2 linked regions of the Macaca fascicularis genome follow. Each later gene encodes a partner of the first gene's protein in a complex. Links are inferred from orthologs where the notes say so. Each region holds a gene or a part of one and is shown in the gene's direction. Other genes may lie near its edges.

Region 1 (9,761 bases):
TGGTGGTGGACACCTGTAATCCCAGCTACTTGGGAAGCTGAGGCAGGAGAATCGGTTGAACCCAGGAGGTGAAGGTTGCAGTGAGTTGAGATCGCGCCACTGCACTCCAGCGTGAGCAACAGAACGAGACTGGGTCTCAAAAAACAACAACAAAGACCTCAGGCCCCTCCCCTGGAGGAGCAGCGATTTGTTCTTCCCAGAACCAACACCTACTCTGAACCAACTTTGCTCTTCCTGCCTGTAGCTCCTCCACCTCTATCCCAAGCTTACCTCCCACTGGACCATGCTAAATACTAACGACCGGCCCACTGCAGTGGCTCACGCCTGTAATCCTACCACTTTGGGAGGCCAAGGCAGGCAGATCACTAGGTCAGGAGTTTGAGGCCAGCCTGGTCCACATGGTGAAATCCTGTCTCTACTAAAAATACAAAAATTAGCCAGGCACGGTGGCATGCGCCTGTAATCCCAGATACTCAGGAGGCTGAGACATGAGAATCGCTTGAACACAGGAGGCGGAGGTTGCAGTGATCCCAGTTCGCGCCGTTGCACTCTAGCCTGGGCGACAGAGTGAGACTGTATCTCAAAAAAAAAAATCCTAACAACCCACCTTAGTGCCTACTGTGTGGCAATGAGCTCACATCCCTGGGACTCACTGGTCTCTCAAACCCTTCTCGGCCCAACAGAATAGTGGCACAGTCTGCTGAAGGCCCTGCCCCGCTGCCAGCTGGATGTCAGCCCCTTCCAGGGCGGGGCACTTCTGCTGGGATGCGCCTGTGCTGCCCTAAGGAGTTGGAGCTCGAGAAACAGGTTCACTAGGAATCTCGGGAATCCGTTCCAGGATCCTCAGTCCCACAGCCCCTTCCCAGCTTGGGCCCCAGCAAACTATTTACAGAGTCAAGTCATATATTTCATAAAATTTGTAAAAGTGAGATATTTTAACCACAACCAGCTAAAACTGTCTCTTCCCCCTGCAACCTGCCATCAGTTACCCCCTCCCCTGCTGCACAGAGCTGGAGGGGGCGTTGTGGGGTCCAGCTCCTGGGAGGCTGAGTTGAGGGTACGTTTTGCTTGGGCTTGGTGGGAACAGTCACTTCCTGATACAGTTATGCTGTCGCTGGTCATTCTGGTGTAGAAATGGCTTCCAGAAACACCCATCTCCCTCGGCTCCATGTTAACACAACAAGCTGATGACACTGGCCAAGTGTCAACTCAAAGAGGATCTAAGAGTAGTCACAAGCAAGAAAACCCAAACTCAAATTCATTTTTATTTGGGGGGAGGGTTCTGGGGTTTTTTGTTTGTTTTTTGAGACAGAGCCTCACTCTGTGGTACGGGCAGGAGTGCAGTGGAGCGATCATAGCTCACAGCAGCTTTGAACTCCCTCGGCTCAGGCCAACCTCCCGTCTCAGTCTCTCAAGTAGCTGGAACTACAGGTGTGTGCCACCATGCCCAGCTAATTTTTAATTTTTTTTTTTTTTTGTAGAGATAGTGTATCACTATGCTGCCCAGGCTGGTCTCGGACACCTGGCCTCAAGCGATCCTCCTGCCTCAGTTTCCCAGAGTGTTGGGATTACAGGCATGAGCTACCTCACCCAGCCAACACCTGAAATGTTATGGCTCACATGTGGAAAAAATTTGATAAGCGATTTCCTCAAATTTAATGACAATTCTAAAAATGTACATATTACCCAAAGGAGCTTTTACCTGAAAGCAACTTAACTATAAGTAATAAAATTAAATTTTGATCAAACATGTGAGAGGAGAAACTAAATCATTTTCTTTCTTGGTTTTTGTTTATTTGTTTTTTGTTTTGACAGCATCTCATTCTGTTGCCCAGGCTGGAGTGCAGTGGTAGGACCACAGCTTACTGCAGCCTTGACCTCCCCAGCTGAAGTGATCCTCCCACCTCAGCCTCCCAAGTAGCTGGGACCACAGGTATGCACCACCATGTCCAGCTAATTTTTTGTATTTTTTGTAGAGATGGGGTTTTGCCATGTTGTCCAGGCTGATCTTGAACTCCTAGACTGAAGGGATCCACCTGCCTCTGCCTCCCAAAAGTGTTGGGATTACAGGCGCGAGTCACCGCATCTGCCACCTTCTTTCTACATATAGGAGGTTACATTATAAAAAGTGTTGTCGTCCGGGCATGGTGGCTCAAGCCTGTAATCCCAGCACTTTGGGAGGCCGAGGCGGGCAGATCATGAGGTCAGGAGATTGAGACCACCCTGGCTAACACGGTGAAACCCCGTCTCTACTAAAAATAAAAAAAAAAAAAAATTAGCCAGGCGTGGTGAAGGGTGCCTATAGTCCCAGCTACTTGGGAGGCTGAGACAGGAGAATGGTGTGAACCCCGGAGGCGGAGCTTGCAGTGAGCTGAGATCGTGCCACTGCACTCCAGCCTGGGGAACAGAGCAAGACTCCGTCTCAAAAAAAAAAAAAACAAGTGTTGTCATCTTAACAGAGCATCAGAGAATGCATCAAAGAAATGTAGGGGAAACCTGTAGGTTTTCTGCATTTTGTGATGTTTGTAGTATTTGTCAACTTTTAAAATGTTTGTGTTGGGGCTTCTTTTCTCACTATTCACTTAGTTTTGGATATATAATTTTGTCTTATGTTTCAAAAGAAGACTGCGTAGACGAGTTAACGGCAGGCCTGAGAAGCTCTTCTTCACAGGCAAGCTTGAAGAGTTGGTGTCTGGGAATTTGGGTTTTGGGATGGTTCCCTCCATTCTCTGGAAAGCGTGTCTCACTGTGCCTAGACTGTTTGTACAAACATGGCTCATGCTGAACGCCTGTGTTGCTTCTGGGGGTCTGGAATTTGGGCACATGCTTGGCACAGACTGTGTATGTAACCTTCCCTCCATAAAACCCCAGGGTGCTGAGTGTCTAAGAAGCTTCCCTGGCAGACAGCATTTCACACACACAGCTCCAGCTTCTTCCTGTGGAGTCCACCAGGAGAGCACTTGGCCAGCTCACGCCTGATTTCCTGTGGAATTCATCCCATGCACCTTTTCTCTTTGCTGATTCAGACTTACTATCTTCTCTGTGTAATAATCTTAGCCGTGAGTCTATAGTGAGTCCTTCTAGCAAATTGATTATTCCGGAGGGATCTTGAGGATACTCCTCACGGCCCCTGAATTTGTATAAGCTTTAGGCCTCCAAAATTTGAATCGACCCATGTGTGTACCCTAAAGCTGGAGTACGAGGATCAGAGAACCAAAAGTGTGAGGTAGCAGTGGCCCCATAATCCTAAACCTGGAATGCTGCCAGGTTGGAGGCCTAGTTCCTGAAGGCGAATACTTCCACCAGGGAACACAGCAAAGGTTCCACTGATCTTGAAGTAGCAGCTATCACTGGCCTACTTTGGGCTACTTAGGCTGAATACCAACATCGTCCTCATTTTCCTGAGTTGCTATGGTCACTGCTACACAACTAGGGTGGGCAGTCCACAGAGCTCCCTGGATGTCTAGTCTTCCTGCATGTGGCAAGGACTGTCAGTGGACAGTCGAAACAACGACCCAGTAATGGCCAGGTGCAGTGGCAGGAGGCCGAGGCAGGTGGATCACCTGAGGTCAGGAGTTCAAGACCAGCCTGGTCAACATGGTGAAACCCCATCTCTACTAAAACTACAAAAAAAAAGTCAGCAGGGCATGGTGGCGCATGCCTGTAATCCCAGCTACTTGGGAGGCTGAGGTAGGAGAATCGCTTGAACCCAGGAGCTGGAGGTTGCAGTGAGCTGAGATCGTGCCTCTGCACTCCAGCCTGGGTGACAGTGAGACTCCGTCTCCAAAAAAAAAAAAAAAAAAAAAAAACCAAAAACCTTCCCCAGGCATAGTGGCAGGTGCCTGTAATCCCAGCTTCCCAGCTACTTGGGAGGCTGAGATACAAGAATCACTTGGACCCAGGAGGTGGAGGGAGCAGTGCGCTGATACTGTGCCACAGCACTCCAGCCTGGGTGACAGAGTGAGACTCCATCTCAAAAAAACAAAACAAACAAAATGACCCAGTAAGAACAGGGACAGGAAGAGCTCAGACTGCAAGGGGAGAAGGGCCTGGGCTGCTCCACAGTACGCAGTGTCTGGCTGCAGAGCCAAGGGTGGGGAATCGGTGGTGGCCAGTGGCAGAGGATAGTGGCCTATCATGGCCTCATACCAGCTGCAGCAGCAGGGCTGTGGCTTGCTCACTCATTCTCATGCCTCTCAGTCTTTCAGGAGAGCATAACCACCTCTAAGGGGATGCTGAACTTGGGCCCCTGCAGCAGACTGCATTTCCCCAGCCCACCTGCTGTTCCTACAGTCTAATATTGACACTCCTCTCACTGAAGGGTGGGGTCCCTGTCCCCATCCCTTAAGCCTGGGTAGATGTGTCTGACTGCCTTGACCCACAGAGTCTGGCAGGAGGGACACTATGTGACTTCTGAGGCTAGGTTCTAAAAATATCATGCACATGTTGTCCATCTCATTGTCCTGGAAGGCTACCCTTGGAACCCAGCTGCCATATTGCAAGGAAGCATGGAGAAGCCACAGGTAGGTGTGCTGCCTGACAGCCACAGATGAGGTCCTGGCCAGCCACCAGCATCAGCCACCAAAGATGTGAAAGAGAAAGCTTTAGGATGGCTCCAGCCCCAGCCACCATCTGGCAGCAACTGTAGGAGAGAGCCTACGTGCAAACTACCTAGCTGAGCCTAGATAACCCAAGACTGCAGGACATAATAATAGAATGATTGCTATTTGAAGCCGCTGAGGTTAAGTGGCAAGAGATAAACAGACACACAACCCCTCTCTGGAAAGGATGAGGAAATCTGCAACCTCAAAAGGAAAAGGGAGGCCCACTCGACTGCAGTGTGGAAGCCCGGTGTAAAGGGAGGGCATGAGAGGACTGGAGAGGTGCCAGGTGTGGACCATCCTGGGACACCAGCCTGGTCACTTTTCTAGCACCGCTCTATGCCTTCTCCTGTCAGTGTCGCAACCCACTGGGTTCATCCTTCCACTTCCACACTTGGGGCGCGGGGAAGGGCTGAATGTAGGCACCACTGGTCCCGAGGGCGTGACGGGAATTTCTCCTTCGGCGGGCGCCCACCTCCTGGCACCCGGGACACAGCTCCGGGAACGGCTGCGGGCTCAACCGCTGCTTCCCCGACAGCGCCACCGCAGTTCCCCGGAGACAGAAGTGAAGCCGAACCGCCAGAAACCGTAGATCCAGGGAGGTCGGTGCCGCGAGGAACTCCAGTTCTCCGGGACCGGAAGTGACAGCGGACCGCCGGAAACCGTAGATCCAGGGAGGTCGGGACCGCGGGGAGCTGTAGCTCCCCGGAACCGGAAGTGATAGCGGACCGCCGGAAACCGTAGATTTGGGGAGGTCGGAGCCGCAGGGCGCTGTAGTTCTCCCGCGAATCAGAGAACTAGGCAGAGAGCGGAGCTGGCGGCCGGGCAGCATGGCGGGGCTGGAGCTCTTGTCGGACCAGGGCTACCGGGTGGACGGTCGGCGCGCCGGGGAGCTGCGCAAGATCCAGGCTCGGATGGGCGTGTTCGCGCAGGCTGACGGCTCGGCCTACATCGAGCAGGGCAACACCAAGGCGCTGGCGGTGGTCTACGGCCCGCACGAGGCGAGTGGGCGTGCGGGATGGGAATCGCGTGACCGCGGGATCTGCGGGGCAGCCGGGCTGAGCACAGGTTCGGGGACTTGAGAGGTGCGGCCGGCGCGCCTCAGTCTACACAGCCGATGCTCAGCACTGCATCTCACTCGGAGTAAACGCAAGTCTTTAGTGTGCTGCGCGGTGGTCCTGCCTTTCTCATCGGTCTCTGTGCCTGCGCTCTCCCTCCTCTTTGCGGCTCTTCAACGTGCCAGGCACTCCCCCACTCGCTCCCTCTCCTCTCAGCTCTACTCCGACGTCACTCCTTCTCAGACGGCTTTATCCATGCGGTACTTCTCTCCCTACAATAAACCCTTGTCTTTTGTGCATCTACAATCTCAAATGCCTATTTTGCTTAAGCATTTTCCCGTTTCCTCGCTAGAACATAAGCTTCCTAAGGACAGAAACTACATAAAACTCTCTGGTTTCATTGCTGTGTTTCCAGCGCTGTAACTGTGCCTGGCCAGTGAAGGTATTGAAAGAGTGTTTGTTTAGCGCATGAGGGTAGGAGCTCTGCTTTCCAGGCGGAGGGAACCAGGAGGGCGAAGACCACGGTGGTGAAAACAAGCAAGGCACTCATGCATAACAGAAAGACTGCTGGTGGGGAAAGAGGGGATAACTCTAAATAAGGTTGAGAGTTCCCGGGGAGGTGAGGAATTAGGGTTTTGTAGACCAGGGAAATGATTTGGGATTTTATTTCATATGTAATGTGAAACCTTTGTAAGGTAATTAGGATTTGAGTGTGAAGGTGAGACAGAATCAGCCTTGATGTTTGTAAACTTGGGTTGGCAGGGAATGGGGCAAGGATGGGCACAAGGAAGCCAATTAAAAGATGCCAGAGGGCAACACATGCAAGACAGTGCAAAACAGGGGGCTTTGTTTTGGAGGTAATGTAGTTGCCCCTTGCTGAGGCATTGAAAGTGGAGGGAGAGGCAGACCCACAGAGGACAGTGGCGTGTGAGCTGGAAGGAGTGGGCCTGGCTCATGTGTCCGTCCTCTTCCAGATCCGGGGTTCCCGGGCTCGAGCCCTGCCGGACAGGGCCCTAGTGAACTGTCAATATAGTTCAGCGACCTTCAGCACAGGTGAGCGCAAGCGACGGCCACATGGGGACCGGAAGTCCTGTGAGATGGGCCTGCAGCTCCGCCAGACTTTCGAGGCAGCCATCCTTACACAGCTGCACCCACGTTCCCAGATTGATATCTATGTGCAGGTGAGCCGGCTGCAGTGTCAATCCAGGGAGGGGTGGGTGTGATGGGGTTGGGGAGAGAGTCTGATAGACTCACACCCTGGGGTCCCTGCAGGTGCTACAGGCAGATGGTGGGACCTATGCAGCTTGTGTGAATGCGGCCACACTGGCAGTGCTGGATGCTGGGATACCCATGAGAGACTTTGTGTGTGCGTGCTCAGCTGGCTTTGTGGACGGCACAGCCCTGGCGGACCTCAGCCATGTGGAGGAAGCAGCTGGTGGCCCCCAGCTGGCCCTGGCCCTGCTGCCAGCCTCAGGACAGATTGCGCTGCTTGAGATGGATGCCCGGCTGCACGAGGACCACCTGGAGCGGGTGTTGGAGGCTGCTGCCCAGGCTGCTCGAGATGTGCACACCCTCTTGGACAGAGTGGTCAGGCAGCATGTGCGTGAGGCCTCTATCTTGCTGGGGGACTGACCACCCAGCCACCCATGTCCAGAATAAAACCCTCCTCTGCCCACACAACCCTCACTGTACGTTAATCACCCAATAGCACTTCAGAGCCATGTGAAGCCTGGCAGAGCCTGGTCTGGTGCTGGCTCCTGGGGATGACCAGGGCCCCTCGCCCACACATGAACTGCCTATCTCTGTGTAGCCTAATTCAAACCCTGAAAAGAACAGTGGATTAGGGGGTTGCTGTGGGGGAGGTCCTGGGTGGAAAAAGCAACATGTCCCAGTAAGGACTCAAGGCAGCTGAGCAGGAGGCAGGGCCTGGCAAGATGAGCAGGTCATTGGACTGAGGAATCTGTTACCCTTACTCTGGCACATCCGGGGCCCTGAGCAAAGGGCTGAGGGAGAACTCAGCTGGCTCTGAGTACCCAACCTAGAGATGTGGGGGCCATGTCCCATGGCCTCTGGACTATGGCCTGGAGCCCCTTGGGCTTTTCCTGCTGCTTACCTTGGGCTCTAAAAAATGCAACAGCCAGGCATGGTGGCTCACACCTGTAATCCCAGAACTTTGAGAGGCTGAGGCAGGCGGATTGCTTCAGGTCAGGAATTTGAGACCATCCTGGCCAACATGGTGAAACCCCGTCTCTACGAAAAATACAAAATTAGCTGGGGGTGGTGGCACATGCCTGTAATCTGAGTTACTCAGGAGGCTGAGGCAGGAGAATCTCTTGAACCGGGGAGGCGGAGGTTGCAGTGAGCCGAGATCGTGCCACTGCACTGCAGCCTGGGCGACAGAGCAAGACTCCATCTAAAAAAAATAAAAGTACAAAAATTACCTGTTCTCATGGATCACTTGAGGTCAGGAGTTCGAGACCAGCCTGGCCAACATGGTGAAACCCCATCTCTACTAATACAAAAATTAGTGTGGTGGCAGGTACTTGTAGTCCCAGCTACTAGGGAGGCTGGGGCAGGAGAATCACTTGAACCAGAGATGAAGGTCACAGTTAGCCAAGATAGCACCACTGCACTCCAGCCTGGATGACAGCAAGACTCTGTCTCAAAAAAAAAAAAAAAAAAAAAATTGTTCTCACATGGAGTCTTCAGTTTTGACCCTTCTCTCTGCCCACCACTATTTATTTGTTGAGACATAGTCTTGCTCTGTGCTCAGGCTGGAGTGCAGTGGTGTGATCACGGCTCACTGCAGTCTCAATCTCCTAGGCTCAAGTGATCCTCCCACTTTGGCCTCCTGAACTAAGACTACAGGCATGTCCCACCTACCTGGCTAATTTAAAAAGAATTTTTTTGTGTGTAGAGACTGGGTCTCATTTTGTTGTCCAGGCTGGTCTCAAAGGATCCTCCCACCTCACCTTCCCAAAGTGCATCCTCTTCTTGAGCAAACTACCCCTTCATTCACCTCTGGCCCACAGACCTGCCGGAGCCCTGACTACCAGCTCCTGCAGTGTGGACCCTGGGGCTGCTGCTCCCCTAATATTCCAAGGATCTCTTGGCCTGGACAGGGACAGTATGCTCCCCTACTTTATACTGCACACACCCCAGCTCTAGTGAAGCCCATTTTGGCCAGTAGTGCTATCAGCATCTCTGCGGTCATCTGACTCAGAAAACCTTGGTGCTGGGCTCATGCTGTGACTCCACTGGGACGTCCTGAGTCATTGACAGTATCGCTTGGCATCCATTCTCTGACCGCCGCCGGCTTTCCACCCACCTGCCCTGTTGTGGGAAGTCAGGGACCCCGAACAGAGGTAACCGCTAAAGCCATGACAGAACATAAATTGTAAAGATTTCATGGACGGCCAGGCGCGGTGGCTCAAGCCTGTAATCCCAGCACTTTGGGAGACCAAGACGGGTGGATCACGAGGTCAGGAGATCGAGACCATCCTGGCTAACACGGTGAAACCCCGTCTCTACTTAAAAAAATACAAAAACTAGCGGGGCGAGGTGGCGGGTGCCTGTAGTCCCAGCTACTCGGGAGGCTGAGGCAGGAGAATGGCGTAAACCCGGGAGGCGGAGCTTGCAGTGAGCTGAGATTGCGCCACTGCACTCCAGCCTGGGCGACAGAGTGAGACTCCGTCTCAAAAAAAAAAAAGATTTCATGGCCATTTATCCCTTCCCCAATCAATACTCTTGTGATTTCCTATGCCTGTCTTTAATCTCTTAATCCCATCATCTTCATAAGCTGAGGATGTATATCAGCTCATGACCCTGTGATGATTGCGTTAACTGCACAGATTGTTCGTTTAATGCATGTGTGTTTAAACAATATGAAATCTGGGCACCTTGAAAAAAGAACAGGGTAACAGCGATCTTGGGGAACAAGGGAGATAACCTTAAAGTCTGGCTGCCTGTGGGCCAGGCAGGACAGAGCCATATTTCTCTTGTTACTGAAAACGGGTAAGAGAAGTATCGCTGAATTCTTTCCCCAGTAAGGAATATTAATAATTAACAGCCCTGGGGGAAAAGAATGCATTCCTAGGGGAGG
Region 2 (10,211 bases), on another chromosome or scaffold:
TGAAAATACAAAAAAATAGCTGGGCACGGTGGCACATGCCTGTAATCCTGGCTACTTGGGAGCCTGAGGCAGGAGAATGGCGTAAACCCGGGAGGTGGAGGTTGCAGTGAGCCGAGATCACACCAGTGCACTCCAGCCTGGGAGACAAGAGTAAGACTCCATCTCAAAAAAAATTTTTTTTAAAAAAGCTCAAGCTCAAACTTCCACCCCTATTGTTTGGAGGCATGATTTGGCTTGTAGCATGAATTTTTAAAGTGGTAGATACCCACAATCAAATGTAAGAGTGGGACAAAACAGATTACCCCACAACAAATCTAGGTGGCTGTGGGACTGTCCACATCACTGTTCATTCCCTTTCTATAGCTAATGGAGAGTTTCCTATTTGCCAAAATACTTTTTGTAGTATTAGCATGCAAATCCAATGCATTCCTCATTTGTAATAAACTCGAATTATATGCTACTTCACACCTCTTCTAGTCTTAAAAAAAAAAAACTTCTGTTCTCCACTTTTCAGATCATTCTCAACCACGTCCTAAATTCCTGAGCGCTACAGGAAATGCCTGCCTCAAGGACTAGATTTACCCAATTCCTTAGGGTTCAATTCTGTCCCTAAGCAGTTCTGTAGCCTCGGACAAATCATTCAACCCTGCTGGGACTCAATCTCCTTGTGTTCACATTCAGTGAGGGAGTGGGATTAAATGCTGAAGTCCCTTCCAGCTCTCACCCTTATTGATTCTGTAACTATACGGATACAGTCAACGCCCGTATCTGCGGAGGGATTGGTTCCAGTCCTCCCTTCAGATACCAAAATCTATGGATGCTCAAATCTGTTATAAAATGGCATAGGCCGGGCGCGGTGGCTCAAGCCTGTAATCCCAGCACTTTGGGAGGCCGAGACGGGCGGATCACGAGCTCAGGAGATCGAGACCATCCTGGCTAACACGGTGAAACCCCGTCTCTACTACAAAATACAAAAAAACTAGCCGGGCGAGGTGGCGGGCGCCTGTAGTCCCAGCTACTTGGGAGGCTGAGGCAGGAGAATGGCGTAAACCCGGGAGGCGGAGCTTGCAGTGAGCTGCGATCTGGCCACTGCACTGCAGCCTGGGCGACAGAGAGAGACTCCGTCTCAAAAATAAATAAATAAATAAAATAAAATGGCATAGTATTTGCATATAACCTATACATATCCTCCCATATACTTTAAATCATTTCTAGATTACTCATAATACCTAATACAAAGTAAATGCTACACATAAACACTTTTTTTGTTTGTTTTTGAGATGAAGTCTTGCTCTGTTGCCCAGGCTGAAGTACAGTGGCAAGATCTCGGCTCACTGCAACCTCTGTCTCCTGGGTTCAAGCAATTCTCCCTGCCTCTGCCTCCCAAGTAGCTGGGATTACAGGCACCCGTCACCTCCCCCAGCAAATGTTTGTATTTTTAATAGAGACAGGGTTTCACAATGTTGGCAAGGCTGGTCTTAAACTCCTGACCTCAGGTGATCTGCCTGCCTTGGCCTCCCAAAGTGCTGGGATTATAGGCGTAAGCCACCACCCCCGGCTGCCCCCAAGTATTTCCAATCCATGGTTGGTTGAATCTGCGATGTGAAGCTCACAGGTATGAAGGGCAAACTGTATTTGGTAAGTGTAAATGAAATGTTTATAAAGCACTTAGCACAATACTTGGCTCATGGAAGTACTCAAATATTTGTTGAACGAATGACCTGGAGGGATGCAGAAGTGGAAAGCCTGGCCAGATGTCTATCTGTCCTACAAATACCAACAAGGACACTCTTGCCAATGTGATAACTCTAAATAAGTGTCTCCTGCTATCATTCTGTCTGATTAATAAAGAGAGAAATACAAACTGTTATTAAAATCATGGCACTTAGGAGCTAGAAGTCATTTTTGAAAACAAGCCCAACCAGAAATCAGCCCAACCGTGTAAATAGAAAGCTCCTAGATGCACAGATACAGATTTGGGTGAACAAAGTCTGAAGCTAGGGCCTCTCTCCATTAGCTAATGGGGTACAGGGTGCCAGGAAATTGATATATGTAGTAAGTGGGCTGCAACTGAACATACAAACTTTTTTTTTTTTTTTTTTTGAGACTGAGTTTTGCTCTTGTTGCCCAGGCTGGAGTGCAATGGCACAATCTGGGCTCACCACAACCTCCGCCTCCTGGGTTCAAGCAATTCTCCTGCCTCAGCCTCCTGAGTAGCTGGGATTACAGGCATGCACCCCCACGCCCGGCTAATTTTGTATTTTTTTAGTACAGACGGGGTTTCTCCATGTAGGTCAGGCTGGTCTCGAACTCCCAACCTCAGGTGATGCGCCTGCCTCAGCCTCCCAAAGTGCTGGGATTACAGGCGGGCCACCGCACCTGGCCCAGACTTTTCATCTCAGGAAATAGAGGTAAAGCAAAATTCAAAAATATGTGTGTAGGGAAGAAGGGGGTAATCTCAGTGAACAGGGGAGGAAACAGAGCAAAGCGCAGCTTTACTACCACCCCAAGCACAAGCCCGAGTACTCTCATCCCTCAGTAACAGTCACAGGCCATAGTGGTCGTCTGCCACCAGACAGGAGGAGATTGCAGGCCACAGCACTTCCCTCTTCCAATGGCTCTAAGTCACCATCTGTTTCCCAAGGGGAAAGTCGACTGAGGGGACAGGGAGGGACAGGCGGCAAAGCCATCAGAAGTCAGGTGAACTGAGATCAAAGTCGTGGGCAATGTCATCTGGACAAGGACGCTGCTCTCGGGATGTTTGCAATCTCAAGTAGGAGATACCAGACATCAATAAAGAGTAGCATTTTATTCACGTGCAGACCTCCCTTCTGGGGTAACACGCTGAGAAGAAAAAGTAGCAACTTTATTTTGGGGCTGCTTATCTTTTGATGACGGGCCCACACAACCAGAGTTCGGCTTTTTCAACCTGAGAAAGCTTACTTAAGTGGGGATGGGAGGCCGCGAAGGGGATCGGACCGCAGGACTGGAAGCTACAGTTAAAAAACCGGGAAAAGGCCGGGCGCGGTGGCTCACTTTGGGAGGAATCACCTGTAATTCCTGCACTTTGGGAGGCTGAGGCGGGCGGCTCAAGAGATCGAGACCATCCTGGCCAACATAGTGAAACCCCGTCTCTACTGAAAATACAAAAATTAGCTGGGCGTGATGGCGCGCGCCTGTAGTCCCAGCTGCGCGGGAGGCTGAGGCAGGAGAATCGCTTGATGCCAGGAGGCGGAGGTTGCAGTGCGCAGAGATCGCGCCACTGCACTCCAGCCTGGCCAAAGAGCGAGACTCCTTTTCAAAAACAAAACAAAACAAAAACCGGGAAAAGGTTTTATTTCTCAATGACAGCCGCGAGGTGAAACTGCGATGGACTGGAAGTCAAAAATCGCGGGTTCCAGTTTGGGCTCTATCTTGAAGATTTTGGACAAGTCAAACCCGGTCTCTGAATCTGAGGTTCCACATCTGTGAAACAGACGAGTTGGGTCGCTTGACCTCCTTCCTTCCTGCTCTGAACGTAACGGTTGCTCGCAAGGTGCGCTCCGGCTGAGGAGGGCGCAGCCCCGCAGGGCAGGGCGAGGAGAGAGCAGGAACCCGGACTCAAGACAAGGCCCCAGGGCATTGCCCGACCCAGAAAAAGGGACTAGGATGGGGAGCAAGGGCCGAGGCTTCGCCCTTACCTGCCGCCTGCCGACTCCCCAGTCAGCCAAACCGAGCCCCGCAGCCTCTGCCGCCGCTCACTGCCACCGCCTCCGACTCGGCGCCCCGGCCGGGCCCGGCTCAATCCAAACCACCATGGCCCGCCGCCTGCAGTGCCACCCAGCGGACCCGGACCTGCCGCCAGCCCATCCTCAACCACACGCGCAGGCGCAAGCATGGAGCGCTGAAGTTCCGCCCCCGGATTTGTCCCGGGGTAACCTGGGAAATGGAGTTTACACGCAAGGATAAAGAACACCAATTGACGCGTATCTTACTGCGGAACTGTGCCTGGGTTTGGCCAATGAGAAATCGATTTCGTTTTCATCCGGGTTTTGGGACAGCGGCAATCATGGCACCACCTGTGAGATACTGTATTCCCGGTAAGTGAGCGCTTCCCGTACAGAGTCCTGGATAGGGGCCGAAGCAAGAAGCCTGGACGGCCTGCAGTTTCTGGGGGCCCATGACCGATGCAGCATTTTTTCTGCAGGCGAACGTCTGTGTAACTTGGAGGAGGGCAGCCCGGGCAGCGGCACCTACACCCGCCACGGCTACATCTTTTCGTCGCTTGCCGGCTGCCTGATGAAGAGCAGCGAGAACGGCGCGGTAAAGGAAGCGGCATGCCGTCTCCTCTCTCTCTGTTTTTCCCTTAGGCTGCCCTTGAGTTCCAGTCCTTAGGCATGGGCACTGCGGACGCGTCTTTAGAGCCTTAGTGGTACAATGTTGGTCTCTTAGTTTCTTCTAGCCGTATCGCCGCTGTTGTGCACTTAGCCACCACACACTAGTTGTGTTGATCTCGCTTGGTTGTGCTGCTGACCCTCGGGGAGGGAGGTTGGGACAAAAGCAGATGCGAACTCAGTAACCCAGCCCAGCTCAGCCCAGCAGTGCGTTGTATACTGTATGAATGTTGCTTACCTCTCCGGCTTTATCTAGTGCCACTATCTCCACCTCACTGACGCAATCTAATCATACAGTCTTTTCTATTTGTAAAAGTTATAATCACAGTTTTGGCTTGCCCTTTTAAAAAAATTTGTAACACACTAGCTTCTTTCAGTGTCGGTAATGTGCCAAGCTTTCTCCTGCTACAGAGCCTTTGTAACATGCCATCTATCTGGAACGCTTCTGTCTTCTTAGGCCTGTTTAATTCCTACCTCCGTTAGTTTCTGTATTATCACCTCAGAGAAGCCCTTCTGGACCCACTAATTGAGGAAAGGAGTTTTGTGGGATGTTTTGTTTTTGTTTGTTTTGTTAAAGACTTACAAAAAACTCTGTCCCTTTTCTTCCAAGCACTTATGTCAGCATATGATTAGACACTCAGGTATGTTTCCCACTAGACTTCTCCCTTGCTTAAATCTAAGTTCCACGAAGTGCAGGTGCTACCACCATACCATCAGTATCTAGCACAAAGCAGCTCCTCAATAAATGTTTGTTGAATGCGTAATACCTACCTTTCTAGTTTTAGAGATTGATCCAGGATTAGCTCAGGATCATATAAGCAATATTTGAAGGAGCACAGTAGAAAGAGGATTCAGAATTAGAACCGTTAGGTTCTGGCTAACTTGACCTCGATTCTGCTTTGAGTAAGTAACTTAAGCCGTCTGACTCAAGGGGCTTTCTATTCAGTCATTGTTGGGAATGTCCTTAACAGTCCTGAGTTTGTTCATTTGATAGATACCACTTGAGTATTTTCATGTGTCAGGCACAGCGCTGACTTGGTTTCTGCTATCAAAGGACACAGACACAAATTGTAAACAAATAAATGCTCAAATAAGCATATGGTTACACATGTGGTGGCTGCTTTGAAAGAATATTACAGGGCACCTTAAGAACATGTAACAGGCAAATCCATCCTAGTCAGCAGAAGTGACATTGAAGCTGAATCATCTAAAGAGTAGGTTAGAGTCAGGTGGGTGGAGAGAGTGCAATTCTGGCAAAAAGAATAGGTTGAAGAGAGATCTGAAAGTGGGAAGAATTTAGTAAGTTGGGGAAACTGAAAGAAGGCCAGGAGAGCTGAAGCATTGTAAGCAACGGAGAGATTGTTAAAAGATGAGGCTCAAAATATCTGTCTCATACTAACAGCCAATACCATGCTCAAAGAGAAAACTCTGCAAGTATTCACTTAAAACAAGTGTAGCTACTATTTGTAACATTTCTGTGGAAATTTCAGCCTGTGCAGTAAAATAAGAAACAGAAAGAAGCAGTATAACTTTGGAGGAAAGAATAAAATTGTCAGCCAGATGTAGTGGCTCACGCCTGTAATCCCAGCACTTTGGGAAGCCAAGGTGGGTTGATCACCTGAGGTCAGGTGTTCGAGACCAGTCTGACCAACATGGTGAAACCCCATCTCTACTAAAAATACAAAAAATTACCCGAGCATGGTGGCAGGCGTCTGTAATCCCAACTACTCGGGAGGCTGAGGCAGGAGAATCACTTGAACCCAGGAGGTGGAGGTTGCAGTGAACCGAGATGGCGCCATTGCACTCCACTCTGGGCAACAAGAGTGAAACTCCATCTCAAAAAAAAAACCAAAAAAAGTAAAATTGTCAATGATTATAGGCAATATAGTTGTATACCAAGAAATTCTGAGAGAATCACCAGAAAACTTATTGGAAGTTTAGGGATTTACTACAAAAAAAATTAGCCGGGCGTGGTGGCAGGTGCCTGTAGTCTCAGCTACTTGGGAGGCTGAGGCTGGAGAATGGCATGAACCCGGGAGGTGGAGCTTGCAGTGAGCCGAGAATATGCCACTGCACTCCAGCCTGGGCAACAGAGCAAGACTCCATCTCCAACGACAACAACAAAAAAAGAAGTTTAGAGGTTTACATCTTCTAGCAGCATTCTGTAGCCCCCTGGTCCTCCTATTTCCTAAAATTTCTAAGGCCTTCTGCTCTGGCCTATAAATGAATGCATACTCCAGCTCTCACCTGTGTACCAAGACATTCCTATATTACTCTCAAGACACAAATGCTTTGACCCAAGAGTTAGCCAGGACATTTCAGTTTTTTCTTTTTCCCTCCGTAGCTTCCTGTGGTGTCTGTAGTAAGAGAAACAGAGTCCCAGTTACTGCCAGATGTCGGAGCTATTGTAACCTGTAAGGTAAGTTTGTCCTAACTTCCATGCTTAGAATGCCCATTCAGTGCTGAAATCATGACCATGCCAGAACTGCAGTGTCCAGTATGATAGCCACAAGCTACATAAATGTATTTCTGGCGGGGCACAATGGCTCACACTGGTAATTCTTACACTTTAAGAGGCCAAGGCAGGCTGGGCGCAGTGGCTCACGCCTATAATCCCAGTGCTTTGGGAGGCCAAGGGGGACTGATCACAAGGTCAGGAGATTGAGACCATCCTGGCTAACACGGTGAAACCCCGTCTCTACTAAAAATACAAAAAAAATGAGCAGGGCATGGTGGCGGGTACCTGTAGTCCCAGCTATGTGGGAGGCTGAGGCAGGAGAATGGCGTGAACCCGGGAGGCGGAGCTTGCAGTGAGCTGAGATCGCGCCACTGCACTCTAGCCTGGGCAACAGAGCGAAATTCTGTCTCAAAGGAAAAAAAAAGGCCGGGCGCGGTGGCTCAAGCCTGTAATCCTAGCACTTTGGGAGGCCGAGACGGGCGGATCACGAGGTCAGGAGATCGAGACCATCCTGGCTAACACGGTGAAACCCCGTCTCTACTAAAAATACAAGAAAATTAGCCGGGCGAGGTGGCAGGCGCCTGTAGTCCCAGCTACTCGGGAGGCTGAGGCAGGAGAATGGCGTGAACCCGGGGGGGCGGAGCTTGCAGTGAGCCGAGATCGTGCCACTGCACTCCAGCCTGGGGCACAGAGCAAGACTCCGTCTCAAAAAAAAAAAAAAAAAAAGAAAAAAAAAAAAAAAAAGAGGCCGAGGCAGGAGGATTGCTTCAACCCAGAGTTCAAGACCAGCCTGGGAAACATAGTGAAACCTCATCTCTACAAAAAGAATCAAAAATTGCTGGGCACTGTGGCTCACGCCTGTAATCCCAGCACTTTGGGAGGCCAAGGTGGGTAGATCACCTGAGGTCAGGAGTTCGAGACCAGCCTGGCCAATCATGGCTAACATGATGAAACCCCATCTCTACTAAAAATACAAAAATTAGCTCAATGTGGTGGCACATGCCTATAATCCCAGCTACTCGGGAGTCTGAGGCAGGAGATTTGCTTGAACCCGGGAGGCCGAGGTTTCAATGAGTCCGCGTCACGGCACTCCAGCCTGGACAACAGAGTGAGACTCTGAAAATTAAATAAATAAATAAATAAAAATAAAAAATTAGCCAGGCATGGTAGCACATGCCTGTGGTCCCAACTACTTGGTAGGCTGAGGCAGGAGGATCGCTTGAACCCAGGGGGTTGGGGCTGCAGTGAGCCATGATCACTGCAGCCTGGGTAACGACAAGACTTGTCTCTCAAAAATAAGGGCTGGGCGCGGTGGCTCACGCCTGTAATCCCAGCACTTTGGGAGGCCGAGACGGGCGGATCATGAGGTCAGGAGATCGAGACCATCCTGGCTAACACGGTGAAACCCCGTCTCTACTAAAAAAATACAAAAAAATTAGCCGGGGCCGGGCGCGGTGGCTCAAGCCTGTAATCCCAGCACTTTGGGAGGCCGAGGCGGGCGGATCACAAGGTCAGGAGATCGAGACCGCAGTGAAACCCCGTCTCTACTAAAAATACAAAAAATTAGCCGGGCGCGGTGGCGGGCGCCTGTAGTCCCAGCTACTCAGGAGGCTGAGGCAGGAGAATGGCGGGAACCCGGGAGGCGGAGCTTCCAGTGAGCCGAGATCGCGCCACTGCACTCCAGCCTGGGCAACAGCGTGAGACTCCGTCTCAAAAAAAAAAAAAAAAATTAGCCGGGCGAAGTGGCGGCGCCTGTAGTCCCAGCTACTCAGGAGGCTGAGGCAGGAGAATGGCGGGAACCCGGGAGGCGGAGCTTGCAGTGAGCTGAGATCCGGCTACTGCACTCCAGCCTGGGCGACAGAGCGAGACTCCTTCTCAAAAAAAATAAATAAATAAAATAAAATAAAATAAAATTGGTTTCCTTAGTCACATTAGCCACATTTCAAGTACTCAGTAGCCACTTGTGGCTAGTGGTTGCTATACTGGTCAGCACATGACTTTTCTGTCACTACATAAAGTTTTACTGGACTGTTCTGGTCTACAGATTTCTAGAATAATAAGGCAGCCAAGGTCAGGCATGCGTAGTTCCTTCACTGAGCTGATTCTCTGAATACAGAGTTTCTACCTGTGTCTGGGAAACAGGGATGCCAGAGGATGATTGGGAAGCCTATTTTTGAACATCTGAAGCTGAGACCTTTTTCTGCAGAGAAGCAAAAGACTTTTATTTTCTAGCATTCCTTGATTTTTTTCCTTTTTAGATTTTTTTTTTTTTTTTTTTTGAGACAGGGCCTTGCTCTGTCACCCAGGCTGGAGTGCAGTGGCACGATCTTGGCTCACTGCAGCCTCTGCCTCTTGGGTTCAAGTGATTCTACTGCCTCTGCCTCCCGAGTAGCTGGGATTATAGGCGTATGCTGCCACGCCTAGCTAATTTTTGTATTTTTAGTACAGATGGGGTTTTACCAGGTTGGCCAGGCTGGTCCCGAACTCCTGACCTCAAGTGATGTGCCCACCTCAGCCTCCCAAAGTGCTGGGATTACAGGCATGAGCCACCGTGTCCAGCCTTTTTTTTTTTTTTTTCCAATGTTAGCCATCTATACTTTAAAAAATCTATACTTCTCTGAAGGGCAAGTTGTGAAAAGACCAAAAAAATAAAAGCTGGGAGTGGTGGCTCACGCCTGTAATCCCACCACTTTCGGAGGCCGAGGCGGGCGGATCACAAGGTCAGGAGATCGAGACCATCCTGGCTAACATGGTGAAACCTCGTCTCCACTAAAAAATTAGCCGGGCGTGGCGGCATGTGCCTGTTGTCCCAGCTGCTGGGGAGGCTGAGGCAGGAGAATGGCATGAACTTGGGAGGCAGAGCTTGCAGTGAGCCGAGATCGTGCCACTGTACTCCAGCCTGGGTGACAGAGCAAGACTCTGTCTCAAAAAAAAAAAAAAAAAAAAAAACTGCAGGGTGTGGTGGCTGACGTCTATAATCCCGGCACTTTGGGAGGCCGAGGCAGGCGGATCACCTGAGGTCAGGAGTTTGAGACCAGCCTGACCAACATGGAGAAACCCTGTCTCTACTAAAAATACAAAATTAGCCAGGCATGGTGGTGCATGCCTTTAATCCCAGCTCCTCAGGAGGCTGAGGCAGGAGAATTCTTTGAACCCGGGAGGCAGAGGTTGCGGTGAGCCAAGATTGCGCCATTGCACTCCAGCCTGGGCACCAAGAGCGAAACTCTGTCTCAAAAAAAAACCCATACCATCTTTGTTTCCCATGGTAACTCTATTAGGTGGCCAGAGTGGCTCTTATTCCCCTTTACATGTGTCACTTATGCAGAGAAGTAGGAGTTAACTTGTCTTAAATTCTCTACTTAGTAGGGTTGCTTGCATTG

Evidence for each region.
Region 2: EXOSC4 (region 1) and EXOSC1 share a complex: the UniProt entries of both Homo sapiens proteins name them as parts of the RNA exosome core complex. The link is inferred for Macaca fascicularis from reciprocal best matches to the Homo sapiens genes EXOSC4 and EXOSC1.

What each region holds. Positions count from the first base shown.
Region 1 is NC_088382.1:153,745,409-153,755,169, forward strand, and holds EXOSC4 (exosome complex component RRP41), read left to right. Parts: upstream 1-5,323; 5' UTR 5,324-5,431; coding exon 5,432-5,602; exon of another isoform or gene 5,603-5,919; intron 5,920-6,633; coding exon 6,634-6,840; intron 6,841-6,931; coding exon 6,932-7,291; 3' UTR 7,292-7,339; downstream 7,340-9,761. UniProt on the Homo sapiens protein: Non-catalytic component of the RNA exosome complex which has 3'->5' exoribonuclease activity and participates in a multitude of cellular RNA processing and degradation events.
Region 2 is NC_088383.1:106,394,049-106,404,259, reverse strand, and holds the start of EXOSC1 (exosome complex component CSL4), read left to right. Parts: upstream 1-4,026; 5' UTR 4,027-4,048; coding exon 4,049-4,079; intron 4,080-4,186; coding exon 4,187-4,302; intron 4,303-6,717; coding exon 6,718-6,792; intron 6,793-10,211. UniProt on the Homo sapiens protein: Non-catalytic component of the RNA exosome complex which has 3'->5' exoribonuclease activity and participates in a multitude of cellular RNA processing and degradation events.